2 linked regions of the Struthio camelus genome follow. The protein of the gene in region 1 purifies or fractionates together with the protein of each later gene. This does not show direct contact. Links are inferred from orthologs where the notes say so. Each region holds a gene or a part of one and is shown on either strand. Other genes may lie near its edges.

What was found.
Region 2: the proteins of SLC7A11 (region 1) and CD44 purify together in Homo sapiens (affinity purification with western blotting; 3 studies listed by BioGRID and IntAct, with this or other methods). This does not show direct contact. The link is inferred for Struthio camelus from reciprocal best matches to the Homo sapiens genes SLC7A11 and CD44.

Annotation. Positions count from the first base shown.
Region 1 is NC_090945.1:32,140,567-32,147,848, reverse strand, and holds the start of SLC7A11 (cystine/glutamate transporter), read left to right. Parts: upstream 1-4,275; 5' UTR 4,276-4,592; coding exon 4,593-4,869; intron 4,870-5,025; exon of another isoform or gene 5,026-5,100; coding exon of another isoform or gene 5,101-5,158; intron 5,159-7,282. UniProt on the Homo sapiens protein: Heterodimer with SLC3A2, that functions as an antiporter by mediating the exchange of extracellular anionic L-cystine and intracellular L-glutamate across the cellular plasma membrane.
Region 2 is NC_090946.1:34,247,423-34,254,936, forward strand, and holds the start of CD44 (CD44 antigen), read left to right. Parts: upstream 1-4,414; 5' UTR 4,415-4,691; coding exon 4,692-4,758; intron 4,759-7,514. UniProt on the Homo sapiens protein: Cell-surface receptor that plays a role in cell-cell interactions, cell adhesion and migration, helping them to sense and respond to changes in the tissue microenvironment.

The DNA.
Region 1 (7,282 bases):
ATCTACTATTATTGTCTGCAGTCTTCTTGGAACTGGATTTCTATTTGCTGGCTGTATGGGTATTTTGTTGGAAGCATTTTACTGAAAATACATGAAATAATATTTGAATTGCTTTTGGATTTCTTACAGGGTTTTGTTTTAATTCTAAAGCCTCTGAATTGGAAATGTCTCTTATTCCTTCTCATATTTTTGTTTTTCTTCTAAATAACTTCTTGGTATCGCGCACAAAATGGAATGTAAAATGCTTAAGTGAGTAATTTGTTAAGCTCTGACTAGAATGTAAAAAAGAAACAAAAACCCCAACATTGTCAATAATTCAATTTTTAACTAAAACATTGACTTGTAGTAGAGAGAACAACAACTTGTTTTAGTTTTCTCACATTTTCAGGTTTTCATTAAAAGACACAAAAAGGGTCTTATCTACTGTGAGACCTTCACGTACTTCATGATGATACTATTCCAACTTAATTCCCACTGACACCTTCCCACTCCCCCCTTTTCTCTCCCCTAAAGGAGGGTGTTTTGCCCTCCTCTGACATTTGAAGCCGCAGTACCATCTTCCTACAGGGCTGGTTTTCTGGGCTCACACGCAGCTCAGAATTATACCGAGAAGACTCAACTCAGTTTAGGAAACTTTTCATGCCATGCCACCCACACAAGAGTCTGGGGCTTTCCTCACCTCTTTGGTCTTGGTATACTTCCCTTTTTTAAGTCGGGTGTCTCCAGCCACTGTGGCAGTGGGTGGCCTGCAGGCTTGACTTGTGACTCTTTTGATTTACTTGATGCAATAAGCTGATATACAGATGCCTGGAAGGGTTGTCAAGGTATGCTTGCTACACCTAGAAATTAAGCAGCTTTTGTGGGCTTGAGAAACTCAAGTCCAGGCTTGAATTTTAGGTCCTTTACTTGGCTGTGTGGGTGCTGCAACATTCCCGTAAAGGTTTTCCCCGGGGTAAATATCAGGATTCTTCCTTCTTCAAAACGAGCAGTATAACAGTGTCAAAGTGTGTGTTAGCGGCTGTACGACTGCGGAAAACTGAAGCGTCTCTGCACTAGGTATTTGCAGCCTCTGTAAGGCTGCTGTAACTTTATTGCCCACGGTGCTTGAGCGTTTTATTCGCAGGCACAGGGTAACGCAGGCGGCAGAAAGGTCAGAGCATGATATACCCCACGAAGGGGGCAAGCGGCGCAGGCAGCTGTGCTTGGCAAAGCCGGAGAGCAGCGCAGCGGAGCGATGTTTTACTGCAGCTCTTTGCAGACTGGAGGCGCAGGAAGGCTGGCGCCCGCTCTCGGTTAGCAGTTCTCTTTGAAACAGGCAACGGATGGACAGTTCAGCGCTGGTGGGAAGGTTCAAAAGGAGACCGTTGCACAGCGATGATCTAGGTCATGCTTTAAAGCGTTTGTTTAGGAGAACACATCTATGAAATGGGGAAAAAACAGAGAGAAACGTTAAAAGGCTGTGCACAGTGCCGGTTGCCGTTAGAGGCTGAAATTTTATTTTCAGAGCATCCTATTTAGGAAAGAATCCGTCGTTGCTTCAAATGTATTTATCAGTCTGCAGTAATTTATGCCATGTATCTTTTGCTTCCATGGCAGATTTTTGTGGAAGAACGCGACTGTTTTGAGGTTTGGGCAGGTCAAGCCCTGCGCTTTCAGAAGAGCCCTCTGTGAAAGCACACTGAACGCGGCGTGTGTTTGCGTCGCGATGCTACGGCCCCTTGCTCTGTGCTGAATAATTCGGATGAAAGTAGCTGGTGGGAAGAGTATCAGGGACTACAAATAATTCGATCAGATTTTGGGAGGGTATTGGATAATGTGGGGCAGCACGCAGCAATGGGCCTCTTTGGCTTTGTGCCCTCCTTGGGATAGGGCTCCAGTGGCAGATAATTCTCATGAAATTTCCAGAAAGCAACAAGGAGTCACCTAAAACCAGATGAATATTCCCTGCAAAGGGATGGTGCTGATAGGTTTGAACTCAGAGGACAAAAAGTGCTTCCCCCTCCCCCCACTTCTTTTTTAAACCTTTATTCATTTTTAGCAGTCAGCAGTGAGAAAGAGGTCTATGCAACAGTTGCCACCGGGAAAGCTGCAAAACAGCGTGATCCCTAGGAAGCTGCCAGTATTTAGAAAAAAAAGAGTTTGTTGCATCCAGCCTAATTTGCACTTTAGAAAATTCAGTGAGAAGTTCACATAGCCTTAAACTTTGCATGTGTGATATCCCTGCCCCACAGAGGAAGCCAGCACCCTTTTCCCCACACGGGAGAGTGTTAATAGCTGTGTCCGATGGGCAAACGTGGGTTCAGAGCATTTTTACGTGCTTCTGGCTAGTGGTCAAACAGAATTTGAAAGCCGTTACCGCATCCAGTGATTTTACTTAATAGCTGGTGTGGACGCCTGGATTGCTGGGAGCCGTCTCGGGATCGTCTGGAAGCTTATTGAACTTCTGATTTGATCTTGGAACTGCCGTCCCATTTAAATAAAGGATAAGCATTAGTCAAGAATGATTAACTTAAATTATTAGATGTTTTAAGATGTCATGTGCTTCTTCAGTAAGCAGCCTTTGAAAATTAAAATAAAGGTCATCAGGCAAGCCCAGTTCTGTGGTTAATGCTTTTTCCTGGTTTGATTTGATCTAGTTATTTAGCTCAGGCATTTATAACCTTCTAAGGGGACAGCCTATCAAGTGTACATCAAGGGAAAACAATTCTGCATAGCACACCACCTACTCATGGCTTGGGATTTATCTGGCACCATGAAAATTGGCTTGGTTTGGGCCGTTGGGTGAGAAGAGGCAGTCCTGGCTGCAGCCGGTCTGGGCTTCTCTGATGGGTCTGGCACCAGGTGCCCTGAGGACCAGGAGGAGAAGCTAGGTGGAGATGTGCAGGATCAGCTGCTGAGCACGTGAGCAGATGGAGGAGGAAGAAATAGGATGTGTTCAGAAAACAGGCAAGCAGAAGCAGCATGTACTCAAAAGCTAAAATCACTTTGTGCCTGTGTACATTTAAACCATGTAAGCTTTCTAATGCTCTGTCCTATCCCCGAGTAAATTATTACAGGAGGCTTTAAAAACACTGAGGTTTCACAGATGCAGCGTGTTGATGCTCCAGTTATCTCCTGTTTCTCAAACAAATCTGAAGGCACTGTTGTGCTCTGAGCTCAGTGCTCCCTTTTCAAATGACAAAATGTCAAACTGCTATCTCTCTCTCTTTTTTTCTTGTTGTAATCCTGGGTCCTAATTAAGCGGTAACTGTAAGAGCAGTAACTGCAGCAATCATTTCTCTTTGCACTGATCTAATCTGAAGCCTTGAGCAGCTGCAGTAGTTATGCTACGAAGGATTTTTCCCCTTTGGCATATACTGCGCAGGCTGTCCCTTGACTAGGCTACAAGTGCTTGGAGGCTATTGATTTTTGTTCTGTTTTATGAGAGTGTTTTTTTTAAACAGTTTAATTTCTCCTGCTTGCGTTTGAATTGTTGGGTAGCGAGAGAAAAGTATTTATGCATCTGATTACCCGTTTATCCAGTCAGAGAAGCTCTAGGATAACTCGAAAATCACTGGTTTCTGAGTGCCTGCAGATCCTGTGCTCTGTTGCGTTGCCCTCGTCCTGTCACATCGTAAAAAAGGTATTGCTGTAAACGTTAACAGGGTTTCTTAAGGGGAAGCGTCGCTGCCGGGCGGCTTACAAACATCCCAGAAACACTGCACGTATGAAAATTGCTGTACTATGGAAATAACCGAGATTTTTCATTAGCCCGATTCGGGCGTGTTGCTAGGCAACGCGGGGTAACGAGGGTTTACGTGGGCTCCGCCTGTAGATACTTACAGTCCTCGTGCGCCTTTCCAGGTGAGTAACGTAGACTTGAGGTAAGCTAATCGATTGCAACAGAACAAAAAGTTAGACCCCCGCAAACTTTAATTTCACTAAGAGGAGCTTTTGGCGGAAGAAGCTGGAAAAGACCCAGAGCTGACGTAGCCTGTTTGATTTCTTTTCCCCTTGCGCTCGGACCAGCCTTGTGTTTAGGCAGGCTTTTGTTTCTGCCTGCGAGTTGCTTTAAAAATTTGGGAGCGTGTCTCCGGGTGTCGCCGGCGGTGCGCGCAGCTCAGCTGGCTCCGTTTCCTTGCGAGCGCTTTGTCCTGCCCACCACGCGCAGGTCGGTTGTGCAACATGCCCCTACCGTTTCAGGGGGAAAAAAAAAAGAGAGAGAGAGAGAAATGCTGAGTAATGCCAGAGGTTTCTCAAATGGCTGATGCAAACCTGGAGAATTTGCATCATCATTCAGCTGGAGTAACTTGGTATGACAAGAGCTTAAATACAAGTCCACGCGGAAGCCGAGCTGGTTTCCAACGATAGGGCAGGACCAGCCAGCAGCGTGCAAGCGCAGGTGTTGCTGAGCAGGGCTCCCCCGACCGCAGGCACCGGGAGCCTCCTACCTGGGTGCAGGGGCAGCTACAGGAGGCAGGCACCAAGTGGTTCGTTTCACACGGAGGAAGGGAGGGGAAAAAAAAAAAAAACACCACCCTAACAACGACCCTGAGTTTGTGCTACAAACTTTTTGCCTGCGCTTGCCTTGGCTGTGCTGGGGGCACTGTAGCATGTTCAGGAAAGCTGCTGTGACTGCAGCCTCTAATGGAAACTACTGGCGGGGGCAACCCAACGGCAGGCTGCCCTCCCTGGACAGCGAGCAGCCGGCCCAGGAGGAGAAAGTGGTGCTGAAGCAGAAGGTGACGCTTTTGAGGGGGATATCCATCATCATCGGCACGATCATCGGCGCCGGCATCTTCATCTCGCCCAAGGGGATCCTGCAGAACACGGGCAGCGTGGGCATGTCCCTCTCCGTCTGGGCCGCCTGCGGCATCCTCTCCCTCTTCGGTAAGTCACCCCGGAGGGGCCGCCGCCGGATTAGCACTGTCACCGGCATGATTTTGCCATTGGATATCGAAGTGCAGTGCTGAGCTTGAGGACCAATGGGGCTGCAGGAGTTTTTTTGCGATTGGATAGGTACTGTCCAGGGCGCGGAGGCTTGCGGTCGCTGCTACCCCTCGTGCCTCCCCTTGCAACCGGAGCCCTTTGGAGAGACTGTAAGCGCAAACCGTGTTTCTTATGGGTCCCAAAAGTAAGAGGAAAAGGAAACGTCCAGTGTTATGGCAGAAAGTGTGCTGTATGTATGATGTTTTTCTTCAGGCTGTAAGACGTAGCCTAGAGTTTGCTTGCAAGGTGCTGGGGATACGGGCCGCTCCGTTTGGACGCTGGTGAAATGTTCAGGCAGTTGGACTCAGTTCCCCCCAGGCTAGATCGAGCTCTGGGAGGAAGAACACCTGCTGGACATAATCTGTATCGGCACGAAAGGGAGCAAAACGATAATAATGACCACCCCCCCCTCCCCGAGACGTGGATTTCTGCTTTCGCTTTGTTCCCCGCTCGCGATGCTGCTTGGAAAGATTGTGCTGCAAAACGTGGCGGGACAGAAACAAACTCCTAATGAGAGTTTTATTCCTGACCTGCCTATTGTGACAGTTTTTACCAGTTTTTGCTTTTAACGGGGTATTAAACCCCGAAGAGTGCCGGTTTATTTGTGGCGCGCGCACAAAGCCCCCGTTCAGAGCGGGAAACCTCACCCTTGCTGCTGAGGAACAGAGGGTCTATTGACCTCCTTAATGAGTTAATCTCAGAGAAGCTGAAGAACTAACATGAATATTGGCTTTATTTAAAACACAGACGGCTTGTTTTCTGGCAGGAGGTAAAGAGGGCAAACACTGACGAACACGTGTCTGCTTCAGAGGTGGAACATGCAAATGCCACCCTGTGTAAATTGGCTCTGAGCTTAAAAGAAGCATTGACTGTTTAAAGGAGAAGTCCACCCAAGCCAAACAGACAACGAAGGAAAGTTAGGACCCGTTTCGGTCAAACGTTAAACGTATTAGTACGATGCACAACATAGTCTGTTGCCCAAAAGTGGAAGTCCTGCTTGTAGGCAAAATCCCCCTGTAAAGGAGGACCTCAAATGCAATTTGTAACCCTGTCGTGCGACTCTGGTGTTTAGCTTTGGTTAAAACAGAACTTGCTTAAGTGTTGCCCGTTTAGGTTTAACTTTAATAGCAGTGATTTCGTAGCTGTGAAACACAGTTTGTAGGAAAAAATCAGTCTCTTTCATCAAATGGATTTTCTAGACCATTTTCCAGATCTTGAGAGGTGAAGAACTGTACAACTCTGCCCAGTAAAAGATACTGCCTCTCACTCTAAATGGATTTTTACAGTTACGTTTTCATAATTTTTATGTCATTAATGTATTTAATTCGCTGCATGACTTAGAGTAAAATTTCATACAAAGATCACTGATCACCTGAAGTCTTGGTGAGGCTCTCAGTGAAACATAATTTGATTTCATCCTGAATCTCTCCCAAAGAAGTTGCCAAGAAAAACCCCATCAACAGGTTTCTTAAACGCGGCTATAGAGTTGCTTTAAGCACGTTTTCAGGTAAGCTGAAGAATATCAGACAAAAGCTGCCATCTTTTGCAAAGCCCCAAGCAAGGCAAATGAACACAGGTGGAATTTGTCATAAAGTCATACAGCCCTAGTGGGCTTGTACGTGCTCTCCAGTTTGGCAACTGTAGTTCTCATCTTACAGCGCAGTAGCATAAAAGCACGTAGGGAACAAAGCCTAAATGACTTCGCGTACTTTGTTGATTTTAACTCTATGCGATGAGTGTTTGCAAACTTTATTATTGTTTTCCTGTGGCTTCTCAGGCGCTCCTAATAGAGTTGCCTGCATTTATGAGACTTGGTACACCTCTGCTCTACTGCCGCGGTCCCCCCGCAGAGCGGAGCACCAGCGGCTTCGTGACTGGATGATGGCCCATTAAGCAGCAGTAGCAGATGGTACCCGGGCCAGGATTGCTTCATGCAGGCCCCTACAGCTGCAGCCTGCTGCTGCCGGCGCTGCGAGGGCAGAGGATGCAGGCCGTGCAGGTGGCTGCCTCGGGCCGAGAGCTGCTCCTGCTTCACCGACGGGTGAAACAGGCCTCCTGCTAAGGAAACGTGAAGCTGTCCATAATATTTAAGGCAACGCAGAGTTTAACTGAGCTTTGATTGCGTTAGTAGTATGCCCCCAACTGTGCAAGCGTTGAAAAGCCAGGGCTAAGCCGTTCCCCAAGTCTTCTGCGTAAGGCGTTGACAACACTGCTGAGTAAAATTGTTAATCTGCAATTCCTGCTTCAGGATTTTGGTCAGTCGATTGCTTCACCCATGGCAAAGGATGGGGCATGCAGGCATGCCAGGCTTTCC
Region 2 (7,514 bases), on another chromosome or scaffold:
TGACGTTCGGATTTCCAGGTTCTTATCCCGTGGTGTGCGCTGGGAAGGACGAGAAGAGGAGAAAGAAGGGTAGTGAAATACTGAAACCAGCCACAGAGAAAATGTATTTCCCCTTCTTCCCTTGAGTGAAGGGAAGTGATGTAATAAAGCTAAATGGGTATATGGTGTGAAAGTTATGCCTGGTGACTGGTGCTGGGACTTCCTGTCGGCACTCTGCCGCAAGCCATGCGGGCCAGTCAGGGACCAAATGCTTTGGGCTGCTTGCTAGGAGTAAGAAAGCTGGTGGGGCCACATGTTTTGAAGTGGAAGGGGGCCTTGCTGCAAAGAGTTCCTTACAGAATATTTGAACGAATCTGGCTGTTAGAGTTTTTTTACTGTGTTGGTTTAGTGAGTTGTTGAGGGATCTGGGGCAAACCAGTAAAACAAGCTGAGGAATCCATGCAGTAGGTGCCAATCTGGGTTGCTGCCCTTTTCAGAAGTAAACAACTAGGAGCCATTGTTCATCTTCCTAACTCTCTGCAGGACACAAGCTGTAAATTACATCTGGGAACAAAAGGTTGATGGGAGTAGAACCGGGTGCCCAACTTCCCAAGGGAGCGCTTTGCCCTCCAGCCAAAAGAGTAGCTTTTCTGGCTTAAACCAGTACAGGCTCTTCTTATACTTTCGCATCAGCAATTAGAGCCCACAAAAAGTGTGCAGGGCAGGATTTGCTACACTGAAGCATTTACAACCATTTCCATTACAAAATCTGGTTTCAGGGTTGATCATGAAAATTAAATCCGGTCTGAACTATAGCAAATAAGATTGCAGTCTAGGGACGCAGGAGCAAATCTGATTCAAAAATACCATATCTTATTGAGATTGCAGTTAAATGCGTGTAAAATCCTCCTCCTTCCTTGAAATTGTCTTACAATCAGTCTCTCAGCCCAGCTGCAGTCTATGCAGAATGCACGCTGCCACTACCAGAGTCACCTAATGAGATCTGTGCTGTGTATATGCGCTGAGATTATGTTCTACAGCTCCCCATGAACAACTTGAACTTTTCAGAAACAGAAATGTTCTGAAAAGGAATTTTTTTATCACAATATTTTTGTTTCTGCTGAAAAATAGAAAAGAAAAACGTTTTTCAAACTAGGAACTTCATTTTTACAAGTTTTTGTTTTTGCAATAAAAACCTAAGCAATTTTGACAGAGACAGAATTCCGTTCTTCCTCCCTAAAAATTGCTTACATTTAGCAATGTAAGCGCAATGTAATGTGATAGTGAAACCATTCTCCATTGGTGTATTTTTGTAATCACAATTTTAGATGCATTCACTTACTGGTCTGTGCGCATAATAAAATCCACACAAACGTACATTATGGGGAGATGCTGCTGTACTGAAGACAGTAGAATTTTGGCCTTTGATTTCAGCTAGTCCCGAATTTCATCCTCTAAGGGAATTCCAGCAAAAATATCTTTTTATATTGCTGTAAGCCACATAAGTTCCTCTTCTAGAGCTCCAACACATGCACTCTCTAATAGGATTTTTATCAAAATTAATTGGTGCTGGCTAGAGTTCACTTATGTGATAAAATCACAAATGAGATATTTTAGTGCTCCTGTACTACATTACACCATCATAGATTCTTTATCTGCTGTGTCAGAGGCTTCATTAAATGCTTCAAGAAGCATTTTTAAATTGCTGGTTTCTTAACATTTTAGTTGTATTATTTCATTCTATTATGAAAATCAAATTCTTTTAGTTCCATTTATTAATTTACAAGTTTTCCTTGCCACTAATTTAACTGCTACTGCCAAGAGAGTAAGCAAATTCCAAAAGCGCTAACATTTAAATATACAATCTGTGTTGATAACAATAATCCCACGGGAACAAATCCACAATGGGAATAAACTGATGGGCTCAACTTAAAATGATGCTGCGTTGCATTTTCTCAGCTGAAGATTTACTTTAGGATGCGTTCCTATACCCTAAGATTATCTTTAGCTAAAAGAAAAGCTACATACTTCTCAAAAAAAAAAAAACCTATGGTACCCCTCTCCCAGAGCTGTCGACTAAATTTTCTGGGTAGCATCAGGCACTATGCCTGGGCTAAATTTGTATTGCTGTCTACCTCAGGCCATCATATTTTAGGGGAAAAATTCCATGTTTGGGTGGGAAAGAAGGACATATTTTTGTGTCAGCTTTTTTATTTATTTTCTTAATGGCAGCTCTTTGAAGTGCTCAGTAGGTTGGAATGTTAGCGTATATCCTTGGCTAATGAATAACCAGGCAGATGGCACGTGAAATGGGCAAACTTACATGTTATATACATACAATTCATTACTTAGGTCTGTGGCATATCACATGAAATGCATACTATGATTAGTTATTTTTCTTGGGCACCTCTGTCTCTCTTGCATTAGGCGCTAACCCATCTGTGCACCTGGTCTAAACATGCCTAATCTCCGTACAGCTTTCTAGGACTGCAAGCAATAGAAATATTTTCCAACCAATCTCCTCCCCAATGTGGAATCCCCCCACTAAAATAAGTAGTGAAATGTCTAACATGCATATTAAATAATATTTAGTATTGAGAAAGTAACCTGTTCATAATCTGATATCACAAGGGCTGGAATACAGGAGCTTTACACCATAGAGAAACTAGGAATTTTCACTCCTGGTGAAATAAGACTTTTGCCTCTGTAACACTTGCCTAACTCCTTGAAATGATCGTTATTTTCCATTTACCTATGGTAAAGAAAACAGACTTCCATTTTCATTCCATTTCATTGTGAATACAGGATTATATGTTCACCAATTTTTTTTCTATCAAAAAAACAATACTGAAAGTTATCTAAATTGTAATTAAATATTCCATTCTTTTGTTTCATACACAGGGGTGAATTTTAAAAGTCATTTAGCAGTTGAAGAAAAAGATATGCTTAGTAAACTCAAAATATGTATTAACTGTGCTTTTTAAAATCTAGCCTCTAGGCTTTATTCATATATTTAGACACCCACATAGCTATTGCTCAGAAAGTACAGGAATACACCAAACTATGTCTTTTGCAGTACAGTAAACAGTAAGTCATATATATAGATCATTTTTTCTTTGCTCCTCAAGCCGTTTGTTTCAAATGAAAAACTAACATATTCACTAAATAAAACATGTTTCATCCGCAACTTCCAAGTTGTAAGCTTCTTAATAAAAAGATCCCCTATGTTTTAAGGAAAGCTTTTCACTTTAACCGTGTCCCATCAGATATCCTAACCTGTAGGAAGAGCCTGTTGGAACCTGTTGCTAAAAATGTGCCTGTTTGAGGAAAGGATAGCCAGCCATCTTTAAGACAAAAGTCAAAGAAAAGTCAAAGTTCTGAAATCCTCATTGTGTAAAGTTCTCGTGCCTGTGGTTGGGAGGACCTGTCAGTATTTTTCCATTGTTTGTGTTAAAAGCGATTAAAAATTAATGAAAAAAATCCTTAAAAGTGGGAGGATCAACACAATGGTAATATGATACAGCGCTTTTCATTTCAAAGTTGCTGAGTGAAACTGGAAACAGGGCACTAATGACTGTCAGTCATTGCCACGTGTTGGTTGTTAAAGGTGAGATGGAAAGGGTTTGGTGATCCCTGACCAGCCCCTAATTCCACACAAACCGCTGTCGTAATTCCACAGCTCAGAAGAGAGGCGAGTGTATGGAGTAATTACGAGAAATCACCTTAGGCGCATAACAGATACACCTTTCCCTTATCTACATAGGCTTTGAGGTGTTCACCAGGGATTTCGTGTGGCATCCTTTGCTAACTCTAGACTTGGACAAAACATATGCACATATAGTCCTCAGGAACTTCTCCGAAAGTCACACTATTGTACGTTCTCCTCCTGTTTCTTCATTTTGGGAATTAGGAGTAGGAGGACTAATTCCTTCTATGTCTCACACTGTAAATACAAGAAATCAGAGACCTAAGTCCTCAGTATTACTGCTGGCACTGGCATAAGGTATCACTTGTATTGGAGCAGCCTGTGCCAAGAAGCCAGCGAGCTTGTGGAGACTGAACTACCTTGATTTACCTACTGTAAATCCCTCTGAGAATCTGAGATCCTCCAGATTCCCCCCCCCCCCCCCAAAAAAAAGGTTCATTGCAGAGCAGACCTTTTGCTTGCCCTAAATTGTACTGAAAAAATGAGAAAAAGTGGTATGAGACAAAATAAGCAAAATATTTTGGGGAAGCATCCAGGCAGTTGTAGATGCTTTGCTGGGGTTCAGAACGTGTGGTGCTTTACTTTCGCCTGTTTCGCAATACAGGTCAGAAATCAGAATAGAGATCAGAAATAGTCCCTTTCTGAGCCTAACTCGTGAGAGATTACACAAATGTTCCTGCAAACGCTATTGATGTAACTCATGACAGTACTTGTGTAAGTCGAAGAGGTTTAGTGCCTCTTTAAAACTCGAATGTGGCTGCTCGGGCAGGAGAAGTAGCCTTCCCCCCCTCCCTTTCTTCCACTGCTCCGACACTTTTGTTGCAACTATGGGTGTGACTTTTGATGGAGCTCCCCCTCCCAGTTATGTCATTACTTAGTTCTTTGAATCAGAATAAAAAGTGCAGCAAACTTCAGACTCATTGACTGCAGGCTTAACAAGCGTCGGGGCTTCTTTCTGTAGCCTGCAAGGATCTCTGGTTTTTGCAAAAACAATTCTGAGAAAAAAATGGCCAGCTTTCCTTTATGGGCAACTTTTGGATTATGCTTGCTGAAGCTTTGTCTAACAGAGACAGGTAAGTTTTGTATGAATGAAAACTCTTATGATTGCTAATAAGCTTATGCCTCAGACAGCAGCAGTTATTCAGCCAGATAGCTAACAGCTTCCTTGCGTCTATCTTTGTATAGAGTTTTATTATTTGTTAAGAGTTATCAGAGATGCTTTAGTACGGGAAACTTAGCTGTACAATCAAGTAAAGCTGTGTATTGCCTGTAAAGGGCAATTCCAGTTCTATAAAATGTGAATTGTAGATCATTAAAGCTAAGTTTAAACTAGGAACAGAAATACATTAGGGAATTTAGAACAGCTCTGGTAAAGCTCAGTTCAACAATGTGACTGCTGTTACATACGTAGTTTGCTCTCTTGGCTCTGTTTTAGAAAGTTGAGAAAAGGGGGGGTGGGGAAAGCCTCCCCCCTCGTCCCAGCGTACAATAACTGTATTCTTGGGTAGACACGGGCTGAGCTAACAGCTAACACATACCACGTTTGGATGTGGCCACGCTGAACAGAAACAAAGCTGCAATCATCTGGGGCTGAAATTTTGAGAGCTGTTATGCCAGGCATGCTTGTTTCTGACTTCTTAAAGTTTCTTTGGGGTTTACTGATAATATTTCAGACCAAAGGGGTTAGAAGTGACCACAGACTTGAGCTGTTTATCCATTAGCTTTCTGTAGTTCTGTTATCTACTTCAAATATTTGTATTTAAAAGTGAAACATGTTAATATAGGGGGAAAAATAAAACCTGCATGTCCGAAACGGCAAAACGCTCCTGAAATTTGACATGGTGCAGGCTCAATAGTGTTTGAGGGAGATGGCCATGCTTTTAACAGGCTCTCATTGTGACAGCAGCTGCCTTGAGGCATTTTGCGGTTAGGGGTAACAATTATTGTTCTACGCTATTTTTCCACTCATCAGTTCCAGGAGTCCAGCAGAATACATTTTTCATTGCGCTTGTCACCCACGGGCTCTGTGCCTGTCTGTATGTGTACAATACATATATATCTGGTTAGTTGGAGCAGCAGCAAGTTAGTCTATAATGGTGGCAATCTGGCCAAGCCATGAATGGGTGTGTCAGAAGCAACGTCCCAGGCCCATCTGTGATAGCTGAAGGGCTCTCCTTGCTCTTCTTGCTAAAATAGACTTATCAGTGATATTAAAAGACTCTTGCTAAGATCAGCTTGATGGATAAAGCACTCAAAGAAAGGGCGGGTGGTTCTGTAGGCACATGAAGTATATCTGAGATGTGTTTAAAAGTTTGACTTAGTCCAAGTCTGCATACTGTATAAGGCTTATAATGATTTTTTTTTTACTGCTTGCTCAACTGATTTTCCCTTTTTTAAGCTGCCAGGAGCGACCTAAAAAAGCGGAGTCTGCACTTCCTCTGGGAATAATACATTTTTACAGTGAGACGTAAAAGAAAACCCCATCATCTAGTCCTCAGTGCAGTTACAAAAAGCATGTCAAGCTTATGCGCCACAGGGAAGTTTCTTCAATGGCTTAGCAAGCTATTAGATTATAGCTGCAATATATTTTAGTTGGTATGTGGTGCATTCCGACATGACTTTGCAGTCAGTAATGACTTCAAAACAGCCGTTGATGGTGGTTTTCTTTTTTAAATGAGTAACTTTACTGTGCATCACAGAATACTGACCATTTCTTCTGGCACATACTTTGCTTGAGGAGCAAAATTCAGACCTGTTCCTGAATTTTGATTCTGTATAGCAGAATTTCGCAAAATTGGAAGGTCCTAGAATTACTGTTAATGTGATTGCTAGAGGAAAGACCAGATCTAGAGAGCTGCTGAAAAAAATGATTGATTCAGACTGTCCTGAGTTCTGTGCTGCTGTAACTGTACTGTCACTGATGTCTGAGTGAGGTGAACGCATGATGGTGACATAACTTTGTTGTCTAAGCAGTCTGAACAGAGCCCAGGAAAATATAGATGCTGACATCTTGCTTAATGGGGGTTCTGGGGGAGATTTTCCCCTGGGGGCATTATATATTTGTAAAAATATTCCTCTCAAAGTTTTCCTTGATTAACACAAAAGCTACTCTAAGAATTTTGTCCCCAAAACTGGAAGTAGTTGGAATGGACCTAGAGGAAAAGGTGAAATGAAAAAAGGAGGGAGAATGGCACCACCAGTGAGAGAGAAAAGTTGGGCTATTAGCACTGGAGAGGTGGCCAGAGCTTCAGTACGATGTAAGGCTGTGAGAAAGGGCTACTATACCTATCAGCTGGTCACAGAGGAAGGGACCTGTCTGCCTTTTAGCTTATATATCTGTCATGTAAATTTGTAAATAAGGCAGCGTGAAGAAGCTCTTTGTGCCAGTTTATTTTCACATAGTCCCTACAGTGTGTATCTTGGCTAGTTTCCCAAAGCTGTAAAGTAACTAGACTTTATTAAAGTTCAGTTGAACTGCCATCATCCTTTAATGGAAAGGTTATATATCTGCCCTTGAACTGCTCTCGCAGACAGAGCCAACAAATCAAGGCAGAAGATTACAATCTTTGGAGAAATGTTTCTACTTCTTTAGGTCACTGCTGTTCACCACAGAGCAGAAGCGTTGCCTTGAAAACAGGAAGCCTCAGAAGGAAGCTTAATGAGGGATGAGAGCATCACAGAAGTGACAAAAAACTTCTTAAACTAAGTGCTTTTAAAACCACTAGTAGTTCTAGCCAAGATTAAGTGAAATGTTTCCCCGTACCTCGCGTGTCTCCTTCCAGAACTGTTCCCATGGCTTTTATAGGCCAGGACTGGAAGACAGCGTTGA